Linked DNA regions of Canis lupus familiaris. The protein of the gene in region 1 purifies or fractionates together with the protein of each later gene. This does not show direct contact. Links are inferred from orthologs where the notes say so. Each region holds a gene or a part of one and is shown in the gene's direction. Other genes may lie near its edges. The genes, in order: RETREG3 and REEP4.

Region 1 (6,367 bases):
TGCCAGCGGGCTATTCTCCCTGAGTACCCTCTCCTCCCCACATCCTTTTATCCTGTTTTCTTACCATTTATCTGGGTTTTCTTTTTCTTTTCTTTTTTTCTTTTTTGTATTTTATTTTTTCAGTTATCTCCACACCCAGTGTGGGACTCAGACCCACAACCCGAGATCAAGAGTTGCATACTCCAGTGACTGAGCCAGCCAGGCACCCCATTCTTACTTATCTCTTAAATTCCAGTTTAGATGTCCTCTTCTTTGTTATCGTTAGCTTGTCATGTTATATTGCAAACACAGATAGACACATAAATACACTTGAAAGTAAGGTCCATGTCTTTCTCTTTTCTGTAACTGCTATAACTGGGCTGCATACCTCAAAGCCTCTACATAAAATGAGCACTCAATAAATGTTTGTTGGATTGGGTTGAAACATAGGTGGGAACTATAACAGACTACTAGAATAGTTCAGGTCTTGGATAAAGTATTTTTACCGCCATCATTTTTGGAAGATCAGCCTTTCTTAGAAGGGCTTAATATCCTCTCCCTACCCCACTTTATATTTGTTAGTAATTATGATCTGGGAAGTAGAGATTGCAGACAGTCTGGATTGCCTCCGCAGGGAGCCCTTTCAAGCACTCTGGAGAAAACGGTGGCCCTGCCACATCCTCCTGCTGCCAGGAATGAGAAGTAGCGGCACTGAGGAGCAAAAAGCTCTAGAGCCCTTATCCTTGGCCTTGTTAAATTTGCTTGTTAGTTGGGTTGATGAGTTGGCCTTGGAGAAAAGGTTAATGACTAGGCAGCTCTAGAGGCTTATTTTTGTTAAGCTGCTTTCATTCTTTAATCTCATGTATAATTACAGTGTCCTTTAAATGGTGGTGGAGGGGAATTGGAATAGGGTTATCACTGGTGACTGGAACTTCACTCTTTGTGTAGTTTTTAAAATTACATAACATGGACTCATGTTTTTTTTTAAACAATTTTTTTAAGATTATTTATTTACTTATGAGAGAGAGAGAGAGAGGCGCAGAGACACAGGAGGAGAGAGAAGCAGGCTCCATGCCAGGAGCCCGACGTGGGACTCGATCCCGGGACCCCAGGATCATGCCCTGAGCCAAAGGCAGGCGCCAAACCGCTGAGCCACCCAGGGGTCCCCCCCTGGACTCATGTTTATTGAAAACCAGTACAAAAATATCTAGAAATAAAAAGTTCCTCTGCCAATCCATGAATATGTAGATGTATTCATATGTACACATAGATAAAGCTTTTTTTTTCCATTTACATATAAAGATTATACTCTATTGTTCTGTGGTTATGTCAAGTCATTAGGTAGTGTGGTGAGCTGAGAAAGCAAGAGGTCATTTGTAACCAAACCAACCTTACCCTTGTTTGATCCATTTGCTGTGATAATAGCTAGTAACACTTCTACATTGTAAAATTGAATAGAACTACGTCTTAGGCTTATATTTTCTTGTCTTTTTAAGCAAGATGAAGTATGACTATTAAAATTTTTATTTATTTATGTATTTACTTATTTATGAGAGAGAGAGATAATGAGAGAGCATGAGCAGCGGGGAGAGGGAGAAGAAGGCTCCCTGCTGAGCAGGAAGCCCAATGTGGGGCTGATCCCAGAACCCTGGGGTCACAACCTGAGCGAAAGGCAGATACTTAATGGACTGAACCACCCAGGCGCCCCAAGTATGATATTTTTACAGGGAATTAAGTATGTTGTTTCTAAAACCTACAAACAATCCTCCAAATTCTGTCATTGTTACCACTACATACAAAGAAACTGGAACACGAACGCCTAGGTGGCTTGGCAATTGAGTGTCTGCCTTTGGCTCAGGGCCTGGTCCCGGGGTCCTGAGATGGGAGTCCCACATCAGGCTCTCTGCGGGGAGCCTGCTTTTACCTCTGCCTGTGTCTCTGCCCCTCTTTCTGTGTCTCTCAGGAATAAATATAAAATCTTAAAAAAACAAAACAAAACGAAGAAACAGTCTTTAAAGAGGTTAAGCTAATTTATTCAAAGTCATATGACTAAGTGAGTGTTCAGAGAATCAGACTCAAGCCAGTCTGACTTGAAAAGCTATGCCTACTACAGTCCCTGCTGAACCATCTATGGTCAGGGCCAGTGGTGTCCCTGATCTGTTGCAAATCAATACTTTTGTAAAATGCAATATAAATGAGTTACTAGAAAAATTAAGTTACTAGAAAGTTACTAAATTAAGTTACTAGAAAAATTAAGTTTATTTATTTATTTAAGATTTTATTTATTTATTCACGAGAGACAGAGAGGCAGAGACACAGGCGAGGGAGAAGCAGGCTCCATGCAAGGAGCCTGATGTGGGACTCGATCCCGGGACTCCAGGATCACGCCCCAGGCTGAAGGCGGCGCTGAACCGCTGAGCCACCCGGGGTGCCTGAAAAATTAAGTTTAAAAGACAGAAAATATAAACCCAAATATGTTCTGTGATTCAAGATTACTTGGTCAAATTGCTATAATTTTTTTTTTAAATGTTTACTCTAAATTTTCTACTTGGCTTCCTCACAGACTGACAGAATTAGCTTGTGGGCCAGCACTGTCCTAAAGATACTGAAAGGCTGGTGTAGTACAAAGACTCATAGAACTTGTTTTTTGATTATCTTTTTCCCCCCACATTTTGTGAAAGATTTATTTTATTTATTACATTTTTACTTATTCATTTGACGGGAGAGAGAGTGCAGAAGAGCACAAGCAGGGGGAGCGACAGGGAGAGGGAGATATAGGGCTTTAGTTTTCTTGTATTGTCTTTGTCTGGCTTTGATATCAGAGTAATGCTGGCCTCATAAAATCAATCAGAAATGTTCCCTCTTCAATTTTTTGGAAATGTTTAAGAAGTATTGGTGTTAATTCTTAAGAACTGGCTTTTATTATTTATTTATTTTTTAAAAAAGATTTTATTTATTTATTCATGAGAGACAGAGAGAGAGAGAGAGAGAGAGAGAGAGAGAGAGAGAGGAAGAGACACAGGCAGAGAGAAGCAGGCTCCACGCAGGGAGACCAACGTGTGGGACTCGATCCTGGGACTCCAGGATCACGCCCTGGGCTGAAGGCAGGCGCTAAACCACTGGGCCGCTATTAATTCTAATTAACTAGAATTAATTAAATTCTAATTAACTAGAATTAATTAAATTCTAATTAACTAGAATTAATTAAATTCTAATTAATTTAATTTAGAATGTTGCTTCAGTGCTAACTTTCTGTTGACCTTAATCAAATCATTTTACTGTTTTAGACCTGAGTTCCTCCATCTGTAAAAAGATACCTAATTGAATTACATGCTTTGTAACACATCTCTTATCAGTTTGTTGCCCTACAGTGGGGTCTAATTTGGTAGAAGGGTGTTTGTTTTCATTATAATAAGTTATCAGGGATGAATTTCTCCCTGAAATTAATAGAATTGCAGACTTGAAAGACTTTAAGAAGTTATTTGATTTAGTCCTCTGCCTTTACAGAAGCAAATTATCTCTTCCCCATAAATACAATAGCTGAGGTTCAGAAAGCTTTTTTTTTTTTTTTTAAGATTTTATTTATTTATTCATGAGAGACACAGAGAGAGAGAGAGGCAGAGACACAGGTAGAGGGAGAAGCAGGCTCCATGCTGGGAGCTCGATGTGGGACTCAATCCCTGGTCTCCAGGATGACGCCCTGGGCTGAAGGCAGGCGCTAAACCGCTGAGCCACCCGGGGATCCCCTAATGTTCAGAAAGTTTAAGTGATTTTCTTAAGGTACGTAACTAGGACTTAAGTATGTTTACTAAAGCCTGAAGTATACAGATGGTCCTTTCCGAAATTAGCTTAATTGAATAATAATCTTCTGTTTTTTCTTCTCTGTAGGTTCTTTGCACTGACATCCCTTCGTCTTGTGTTTTTACTTGCATTCAGCTCTATGATCATTGTATGTATAGACCAATGGAAGAACAAAATCTGGCCTGAAATAAAAGGTGAGTTTGATAGCATTTAGAACAGTCTGAACTGGAAATGGTCTTTCCTTTAATTTTTACCTTTAGTTTTGGGGGTTTATGAGGGAGTGTATAGAACTGGGAATATCTTTTGATGTGTGAATTACTTGTTTTAGGAGACACTTGAAGGGCTGGTGCTCCATCGGTAGTTCCTTACAGCTGCATTCCACCTTTCCCATTGTTACTAAGCTCAAGAAATCTGTATCCACCACCTGAGATATTCTTGCCCTTATAATTGGCCAGAGGAATAAATAGTCTTCAAGTTAAAAAAAATAGATAGACATATCTACATCATTGGATACTGCATCTTTACTGAGGCAGTATCAATTTGCCTCTCAGGAATTTCTTTTAAATTGCTTATTTGCAAAAAACACTAAGCTAAGCATTGTGATTCATATAAAGTAAGATACGTTTCCTTTTCTCAAAGATTATATAGGCACAAACAAAAGACCAGTGAAATGATAGCTACAGAACAGTACCAGAGATGTCACTGTGTAGTATGTAATTGGTATGTTTGTCATGTATTTTGGCCCTGGTTCAGGCCTTGAATGAAGCAAGTGACTTGAACAAGTGAAGAGAGAAGTGGTGTTTCTAGTGGCACCAGTAGTTCGATTAGTCTGAGAAACCAGAAGCAGCAAAGCATCTCCTGAGAACAAGGAATTAGTCACTTTCACCAGAATGAAGAGGTCATTAAAAGGAAATAAAACTGATAATATGTTGGGATTAGATTTTACAAGGCCTTCAAGTTAGGCCTAGAAGTTTAGGCTTAATCCTATAGGTAGTGAATGATCATTGAGCATTTCTTTTTTAGAGTTATATTGTGAGGTGATACAGAAGATTGATAGCATTTTACAGGATCACATGGAAAGAAAAGGGAAAGAGGGAGACTTGATAGGAAACTATGACTGTATCTGTGTGAGAAATAGAGAGGTATTCATGGAAACAAACAATGGGTGGCTTGGAGAGCTGGGAAGAAGAAAGATACATTAAGACTGATAAGTAGGGAATTAGAAGAATAAGGGATAAACGCCATTGAAGTGTTGGCAGGATATTTACATGAGAGTATATAGCTTTTAAATACATTCCCATCCTATTTTGCAAAGACTTTAAGGAATCATGTAGTTCATCACCTGTCTTATGGCTGGTGAATGTCAAAAGATGACATCATTCATTGTAGTTAATGCATCTCTTTTTAAAGAGAAAAGGCAGATTTCTGGATTTGGAGTAGTTCTAACATGCCTCAGTAACCTGGTGCACATTGATGTATGTGAGCAGCCAAGACACCCTTGAGGGGTAGGGTGGATCATTTTTCTTGTGCACCTTGGCTCTCAGTTGTAGTAAGTAGAAGGGACCCTGATGTTCCATTTGGATCCCCTCACCCGCCCACCAGAGAAATGAGCAGGCATCAGCCATCCTCCCCATGTCTGCACTCCCCTAACTCTGTCAGTATAACCTGGTGTCTCCTTTTTATTGGCTATTACTATTTTCTTTTCCCCAAACCTATTAAAACTCGAGCTGTCAGACCAACAGCCTAACATTTTTATGTTTAGTTTGCCCTACCAACTAATGCTGGTGTTTGTTTTAATATTGTAGTGCCAAGACCCGACGCATTAGACAATGAGAGGTATGGAACACTAATTAAATCCCTTTTTGTTGCTCTGATTGATTCTCTTGTTGTAATATTCTGGTTACATGTTGTTAACTCCATGTTATGGATACAGAGTATGAGCTGAGAACCTAGTCTGTTCCGAATAATCATCTTAACAAATCCTAAAGTTCAGGTAGCAAGTTGAGATTGCTAGTGTCCTCTGCTATTAACAAGAAAAGTTTCTGAAAAGGAGCATTATAGTGCCCTGTAACCTGATATGCCAAGGAGTTAGCTGCATTTTTTAGCTCTACTGTAAAAACTTAGAGGCAGCTTATTTCATTTGTTTCCTGACTTTTATTCCAGATCATTTAGTGTTTTCTGTGACCTCTAGCTTTTTAAAAAGTTTCTGGTCAGAAAACACATTGGTTCCTGGCATCAGCAAGCCAAAGATTCCTCTTGTGTCTTACAGCTCTTGCTTTCATTTCTCAGTTCATTCATCCCATATGTTTGATCCAAGGAATTTCCTCTGCTATGGTTTATTTTACTTTTGCTATATTTATTTTCTGAGGGACACATCTACCATTGCCTCCCCCTCAGCAGCAGCAGTGTCAGATTGTGTTTTACTTTTATCCCTGAATTGCAATCACAGTGAATTGCAATGGTCCGAGTGCAGGGAAGATGTTTCTAAGCACAAAGTGCCTTGGAGCTAGTGGCAGGTTTATACACGTGGATTGGACTGCTTGCTCATAGGGTGGAGTTGTCAGAACAAATGTGCCCTCCTAGTCCC
Region 2 (6,851 bases), on another chromosome or scaffold:
CACTCCTCCTCTTGAATGCCACGGGGAATGAGGCCTGCTGTATGCCTGCCTGGTCACCTGCCCTGGGGGTCATCTGTGTGTCCAGAGAGTTGCTTAGCAATCCAGTGTAGCTGGGTAACTATGTCAACATCTCATGACCAAAGGCCATGAGAGACAGAGTCCACTCACTCTGCAGAGCTGAGGATGACACCCCTCAGCTCCCAGCCGCACACCCCTCCATGCTGGGCCCTGCTCCCAGGAGCACACCTCTGATGTCCATTAGATTTCCTAGTGCCGTTATGAGGACCAGGAGTCTCTATGTGAGAGACTTTCCCCTCCAGGGTGGTCTTTTGGGGAGAGAGGTCTTAAAGTGGGCACAAGAGAGCTCTTCACCAGCAAGTGAGGGTAGATGCTGAGGTCAGGTCAGGTGACTCTGGAAGGCAGCCAGGGAGGACGTGGTTCTGCAGCAGGGACCAAAGGGAGCACATGCACACAGCCCAGGCACCCTTATCTCCAGAGGAACGGGTGCTCTTCCCTCTACCGCAGCCCCCAGCTCCTCCTGAGCTGGCCCCCTATGGAGTTACCACATCCTTTTTTCTGGGCACAGATTTTCATAACGTCTGTGGCTAGAGATGGAGGGTGGGACTCTGGCTCTTGGAGTTTCTTGTTCTTCCAACATAGGGTAGGAGCGAGGCCCAGGGTGAGGGGGTGGTTAGATGGGAAAGAGGGAGGCCTCAGGGAAGTTTCTCCTGTGGGTCAGTTTCACTGCTAGCTCTCACACCCCACATCACCAATAAAATGGATGATAGTAATTAAGACTACATAATTACCTTGTGTTTATTTATTCCCAGGAAGCCTCCTTTCCCTGGCCCCCATCATTATTTATTCCATCCTCTCAATAGGTGATGGGAATTAACTATGGCTCTAATAAAAAGTAATAACTGTTCAAGTTTCCCATCCCCATGGTTCTAGGTAACTCTGCTGCCAGCCCTGTGAAGCAGGGGGGAGGCTGCGCAGGGTGAAGGGCACAGTCCCCATTGTCAGCCAGAGGAATGGGGCACTGTGCAGAAGAGATACAAAGCATGCAATCCTACACACAAAGTTCTGGAAGCAACCAAGCCTGCCTTCTCCTTTGAGCCTCCCACTTTCTTCCCCATATACACCTGCCCCTGGAGGAGCTTCTCCGTTCCCTCTGGCCTTCCAGGGCTGTGTTCAGAAGACTGATCATTCTGTCTTCATTCACCCATCATCCAGCAACAAATGCCACTAGATGATGTTACTTTTCATCAATGGTGAAAAAAAAAGGGGGGGGGGAGAGGGTGCAATCTTTGTAAAGGTCAAGACCTTGCACACAAAAATTAGCTACTAAGTGGCAATTGTTGATATGATTCAGCTCTCGGGGACATTTGTGTTCTGTCCTCACAGAAATAGGTGGAATTTCAAAGGTCTGGTGAAGAAGGCATGGGTGGGGGGGTGGGGGCTGGGGGCTCTCTGTCCAGAATGTCTCGTGGTCAGTCCGCCCAGGTATGTGCCTCTGGAGAGGTATCCCTGAGAGAAGTCAACTCCTGAAGCCCACTCTTCGGGGTGAGTCTCAAAGGGATGATGAGCCACGCATGTGACGACAGCTCCCCTCTCCCACTTCCTCCCGCTTTCTTTCTGGGTCATCTCAGCGTCACGGAGGCGCTTATGCATCTCGTGCCCCGGAGCTGCGGGACCTGGATCTGCCGGCGCTCGGCCAAGCCTCCCTCCCCTTGTGCGTGAGCCTGGAAGCGGGATCCTGCGCCCGGCCCAGGACTTTTTCCCATTTTACAGAAGGGAAAGATGAGGCAAAAGGGGGAAGCCAGGGAAGAGCCGCGAAAATTGTGGAGTCCAAGTTTCCTCCTCTGCATCTTTTTTGTTGCGGTTTCCCATCCCTTGATCTTGCCAATGCGGGCGGGCTCCTGGACCCGCGGGCCCCCGCGCACGGCGGGGAGGCGGGTCGCCCTTTAAGGGGCGGGCCCCCGGCGTCCTCGCCCCCGCCCCGCCCCCCCGGGGCCGCACTGCGCCTGCGCCCGGCGCCGGAGCCCAGGGGTTGGGCAGCGCGCAGTTCCGTGCAACTTTCAAGTGAGTTGCAAACTCCGCCCCGAGGCCGGTGCCGGTGGCCGGGCGCCGCGAGACCGCGGGGACCGGGGCGAGCGGAGGCCGGACCCGCCCAGCGGCGCGGCGGGAGCCCGACGCCTGGTTCCTGCAGCGGCATCCGCCCAGGAGCGCGGCGGCGAGGGAGGACGCGCCCGCCCCGGGCTCCCGAGTCGGTGCCCCCGAGCCCGGCCTCCGAGCCTCGGCACCGGGCGCCCCACTCCTCCGGCTCCGCGCACCGCAGACTCAGGGGCGGCCCGAGCGCCCCTCTGGTTCCCGCGCTTCCGCCGAGCCCCCGTCCCAGCCCCGCCCGAGCGTCCCTCTGCTCCTCTTCTTGGGGGATCCCCTCCCCCTTCGTCCCCGAGGCTGCAGGATGGTGTCCTGGATGATCTGTCGCCTGGTGGTGTGAGTACGGGTGCCTTCCTACACCTTCTATCCCCAGGAGCCACAGCGCTCCTGATCTGGAACAGGGGGACATCTGATGGCAAAGGGGCCTCCTGTGGGGCTCCCTCAACACTCACCGTGAGGGTTAACGGACCTGCGGGCCTGCACGTGCCATGGGGTACCCTGGCTTGCCCTCCAGCCCTCAAGCCTCCTTGGTCCGTGGCCACCCCTCCCGCAGTCACACACACCGCAGACAGGTGTGTGGGGCCGAGGACTTCAGGCCGACCTGCAGTCCCTTAGCAAACACAAGATGTGGCACGTCGTGGGCGGATGTTCCAGGTGCCTGCTTCCCTTCTGAGCAGTCACCTGACTCACCATCCTGGCCTCAGCCTCCCCATTCTGGCCTCTTCTCACCTTTTAGTACTCCATCTGGCTCCAGTATTCCTATCTGCAACCTGGCAGTGCCAGGTCTGGTGGCCGTGGACCTGATGGCATGTCCACAGGAGCAGACAGCCTGGTGCTCTCACCAGCTCAGCAGCCTGCCTCCCACCCACCTGTGTGCGGCTGTGTGTGTTCCGCTCGATCATGCACCCATAGGCCACTGATGCAGGCCCGGGCAGGCTTGGGGTGTTTGTAAACAGCAGGGTGGGGAGGTGGCCTCCAGGGCACTGACTCAGGCACACATTGTGCAAGCCAAGCGGGAAGAACAGGTAGGCCCTTGCCACTTCACATCTGTGAGGGAGGTGGCCACCTGGTGGGGCGAGGAGGACAGGATGCTGCTCATATTCCCCCTCTGTTTTATGGGCTGCCCTTCTAGGCTGGTGTTTGGGATGCTATACCCAGCTTATGCTTCCTACAAGGCTGTGAAGACCAAGAACATTCGTGAATATGTGAGTGTGGCTGTGGGCAGGAGGGCTTCATTCAGGTCTGGGGGGACTTGGCAAAGTGGGGAGGGTCTGAACTGGCATCCCCTGCCTCCAGGGGCATAAGCAGGTGGCATATCCTAAGCAGAGTGGGTGTGGTTGGAAGGCAGGCGATTGGGGAGCCCATGCAGAATCGTGTGGGTGAAGCTTCTTGGGGGTGGGTACAGAAATGAGTGGCAGTTTCTCAGAGGCAACTCTAGGGCCAACCAGTTGCCAGGAGAATGCAGCAGGACAGGCTCTCTGGAATCTCTGGGTCAGCCTAGGACAGGGGAGTTGGCTCTGCAGGCTCAGCTGTTGGCCTCTGACACCCCCACCCACACCCCCAGGTCCGATGGATGATGTACTGGATAGTCTTTGCACTATTCATGGCGGTGGAGACCTTCACAGACATCTTTATTTCCTGGTATGCATGCAGGGGGCCTATGGGCTGTGGGGAGGTGCTGGCCCACTCAGCCGGGCTCCCTGCTGACCTTGCCCACCCTGTCCTCTGACAGGTTCCCTTTCTACTATGAGATCAAGATGGCCTTTGTGCTGTGGCTGCTCTCACCTTACACCAAAGGGGCCAGCCTGCTTTACCGAAAGTTTGTCCACCCGTCCTTGTCCCGTCATGAGAAGGTACTTCGGGGGGAGTCAGGGAGTGAAACATAGGGGTGGGTGTGAACGAAAGGACCCTGGACTCGGGGTTCAGGATACTGGATGATATCTGGGTTCTAATCTGAGTCCTGTTGCCCTTAGCTGTGGGACCTTGATAGAAAGTAGCCTTTTTCCTCTTTTGCGATAATCAAATGGGAGCACATGTGAATGTGCAGAGCTGGCAGTTGTTTTGGGGACAGTGGGAGAAGGCTGAGCATGGTCATCCCCTGAGGTGGGGGAATGGGTGGGTGGGGAGCCCTGCCCTTGGTGTGGTTGCCAGCGCCCTGTAGGTGGGGGTGGACAGGGAGGCACAGGACGCAGTGGCTTCTCTGGGTCTGCAGAGGAAGGATGACTCCCACTGTGCACCTGAACTCTTCCCCCTTCCCCGCCCTCCACAGGAGATTGACACCTGCATCGTGCAGGCCAAGGAGCGCAGTTATGAGACGATGCTCAGCTTTGGGAAGCGGGGCCTCAACATTGCTGCTTCGGCCGCTGTACAGGCTGCCACCAAGGTGACCTGGGCCCCAGCCCTCCAGCAGCCCTCCCACCCCCAGTGCCTTCTGGGGGAGTCCAGCTCTCTGTCAGGGAGCTGGGAGACAGCACCAAACCATGCCAGGGGACAGGGTAGGAGGTGATGGGTGGGGTGTTGGCCGGAGGATGGAGCTGGGCCAGTGACCGCGAGCGGTAAATCCTGCTCTCTGGGCCTTCATTTCCTGTTGGCAGCACAAAGACATGGACCTAGAAGGTTACTAAGTTGCTTTCAGTTCCGAGGCCAGGGCCCCAGTGATGACCTGCCAGTCAGTGCTTAATTTCCCTGCACAGCTGCCCTGGTTCAGACCTGGGAATAGAGGATGCTGCTAGGATCCCCTGCTCCATCCCTCCAGGTGATGCATCGGCTCCCCCTCTCTTGCAGAGTCAGGGGGCACTGGCCGGAAGGCTACGAAGCTTCTCCATGCAGGACCTGCGCTCTATTCCTGATGCCCCTGCCCCTGCCTACCAGGATCCCCTCTACCTGGAGGACCAAGTACCTCTTCGCAGGCGACCCATCGGTGAGTAGGAGAGAGATCTGGAGCTGTTTGTTCCAAGAGGGATGCTCCTTCCATTTGAGCTGTGGCTTCCCTGGGGATTAGAAGAAGGCGTGGCTGGGCCCCAGGCCTTCAGACTGTGGAAATGCCCAGCTTTGGCTCCCTGGCCTCTCTCTCCTCTATTCAGGGTACCGGGCAGGGGGGCTGCAGGACAGCGACACCGAAGATGAATGCTGGTCGGATACAGAGGCAGTCCCCCAGCCACCTGCCCGGCCCCGAGAGAAGCCTCTCAACCGCAGCCAGAGCCTGCGTGTGGTCAAGAGGAAGCCGCCCGTGCGGGAGGTCAGTGGCCAGGAAGGCGTGAGGGAGGCGGGCTGTCCAGGGACTTTGGCCTACACCTCCTCCCGTTGTATCTGCTCTCTCCCCTCAGGGTACCTCGCGCTCCCTGAAGGTTCGGACAAGGAAAAAGACCATTTCTTCAGACATGAATGGCTAGGATCTGCAGAGCCTGGCCGAGTCTTACGTCTTGCCTTATGGGGTACCAGGGACTGCTTGGAGGGGGCGACTGGGTGCACATCTGACCTGCCTACACCAGCTGCTCAGGCTGTGTCCTCCTGGCTCCTGCTCTCGGTTAGGGGCTGGGGCGGTGCACAGGGATATACCTGTGATGAACCAAAGCAGGCTGGGCCCATGATTCTATTTATTGCCTTTCTCATCCTTATACCCTCTTGGGTGTGTGGGACCAGAGCCCTTCCCAGACCTCTGCAAGTGAAGCCAAAAGTCCACCCAGCTGTGTTCATTCCTTCCTGTCCTTCAAAGTACTTGACAGCCTCCTCTAAGGCCCCGTGTGTGTATATGTGTGTGTGTGTGCGCGCGCACGTGCGCGTGTTCCCTGGTTGTGTTTTGTGTTGGTGAATGAGGTCAGGTTTATGCACATTTTGGTAAATAAACATATAAAAGTGTTCTGTTTGTCCTGGTTTTATATTCCTGGTCCTCACAGTACACAATGCTAAACAGCCTGCTACAGGCCAGACCAGGCCTAGGATGGGGGTTAAAAGGACAGACCTTTTGGGACCAGTCTCCTGGTGGGGGCATGTAGCCATTAACATATAGTTGTGATGTGGCAAGTACTGTCACAGGAAGCTCTTGGAGACTTCTGAGAACACAGATGGGAGACTAGGGGTGGTGGTAGGGAGGACACCCTGGAGAGGGGTCAGAGTCTGAGACTATAAGCAGAGGAGATGGCATTGGACCTTGATGGGAAGCAGAAGGTAGTGGGAACAGAGGCGTGGAGGGAACTCTGGGCAGCACAGTAGTTTCATGGGGATTAACTGGAGCTGTAAACAGTTAGGCCTGGGGAGACCAACTGCCCCCGTGGGCCCTCAGGGGTCTCTAGGAGGCAGCTCTAGGGGCATTGAGTTCCTGTAAACATCCCAGATGGCCTTGGGAGCATTGCATGTCTTCGGAATGGCCGCGAGAGGGCAGCAGCTGCCAGGGTCTGGGCTGCCCCTAGCTTCCAGGTCAAGGAGGGCGGGGTTGGGAGTCTGGCCAGAGCCCTGCCCTAGAGGGGCCTGGCCTCTGGCTGGCTGGCTGGCTGGCTGGGAAACGATGCAGAATTCTGGTCTGGCCTCCAATGGCCCTCTCTGCTGCTCCTTCCTGTTTGTGGTCATTGGTCCCCTCTGCCCCATGCATGGAGGCTCCCCTGTTCTGAGATCCAGGCTCTTTGCCCCAGCTGACTCTACTCCATCCCCTATGCTAATCCCTGGGGCAGCCTCAATGGCTTTGCCCTCCC

What was found.
Region 2: the proteins of RETREG3 (region 1) and REEP4 purify together in Homo sapiens (affinity purification with mass spectrometry; 3 studies listed by BioGRID and IntAct, with this or other methods). This does not show direct contact. The link is inferred for Canis lupus familiaris from reciprocal best matches to the Homo sapiens genes RETREG3 and REEP4.

The regions. Positions count from the first base shown.
Region 1 is NC_049230.1:20,246,651-20,253,017, forward strand, and holds part of RETREG3 (reticulophagy regulator 3), read left to right. Parts: intron 1-3,867; coding exon 3,868-3,974; intron 3,975-5,585; coding exon 5,586-5,616; intron 5,617-6,367. UniProt on the Homo sapiens protein: Endoplasmic reticulum (ER)-anchored autophagy regulator which exists in an inactive state under basal conditions but is activated following cellular stress.
Region 2 is NC_049246.1:35,273,974-35,280,824, forward strand, and holds REEP4 (receptor expression-enhancing protein 4), read left to right. Parts: upstream 1-2,110; 5' UTR 2,111-2,467; coding exon 2,468-2,499; intron 2,500-3,295; coding exon 3,296-3,368; intron 3,369-3,727; coding exon 3,728-3,804; intron 3,805-3,895; coding exon 3,896-4,016; intron 4,017-4,432; coding exon 4,433-4,546; intron 4,547-4,947; coding exon 4,948-5,083; intron 5,084-5,246; coding exon 5,247-5,401; intron 5,402-5,489; coding exon 5,490-5,555; 3' UTR 5,556-6,022; downstream 6,023-6,851. UniProt on the Homo sapiens protein: Microtubule-binding protein required to ensure proper cell division and nuclear envelope reassembly by sequestering the endoplasmic reticulum away from chromosomes during mitosis.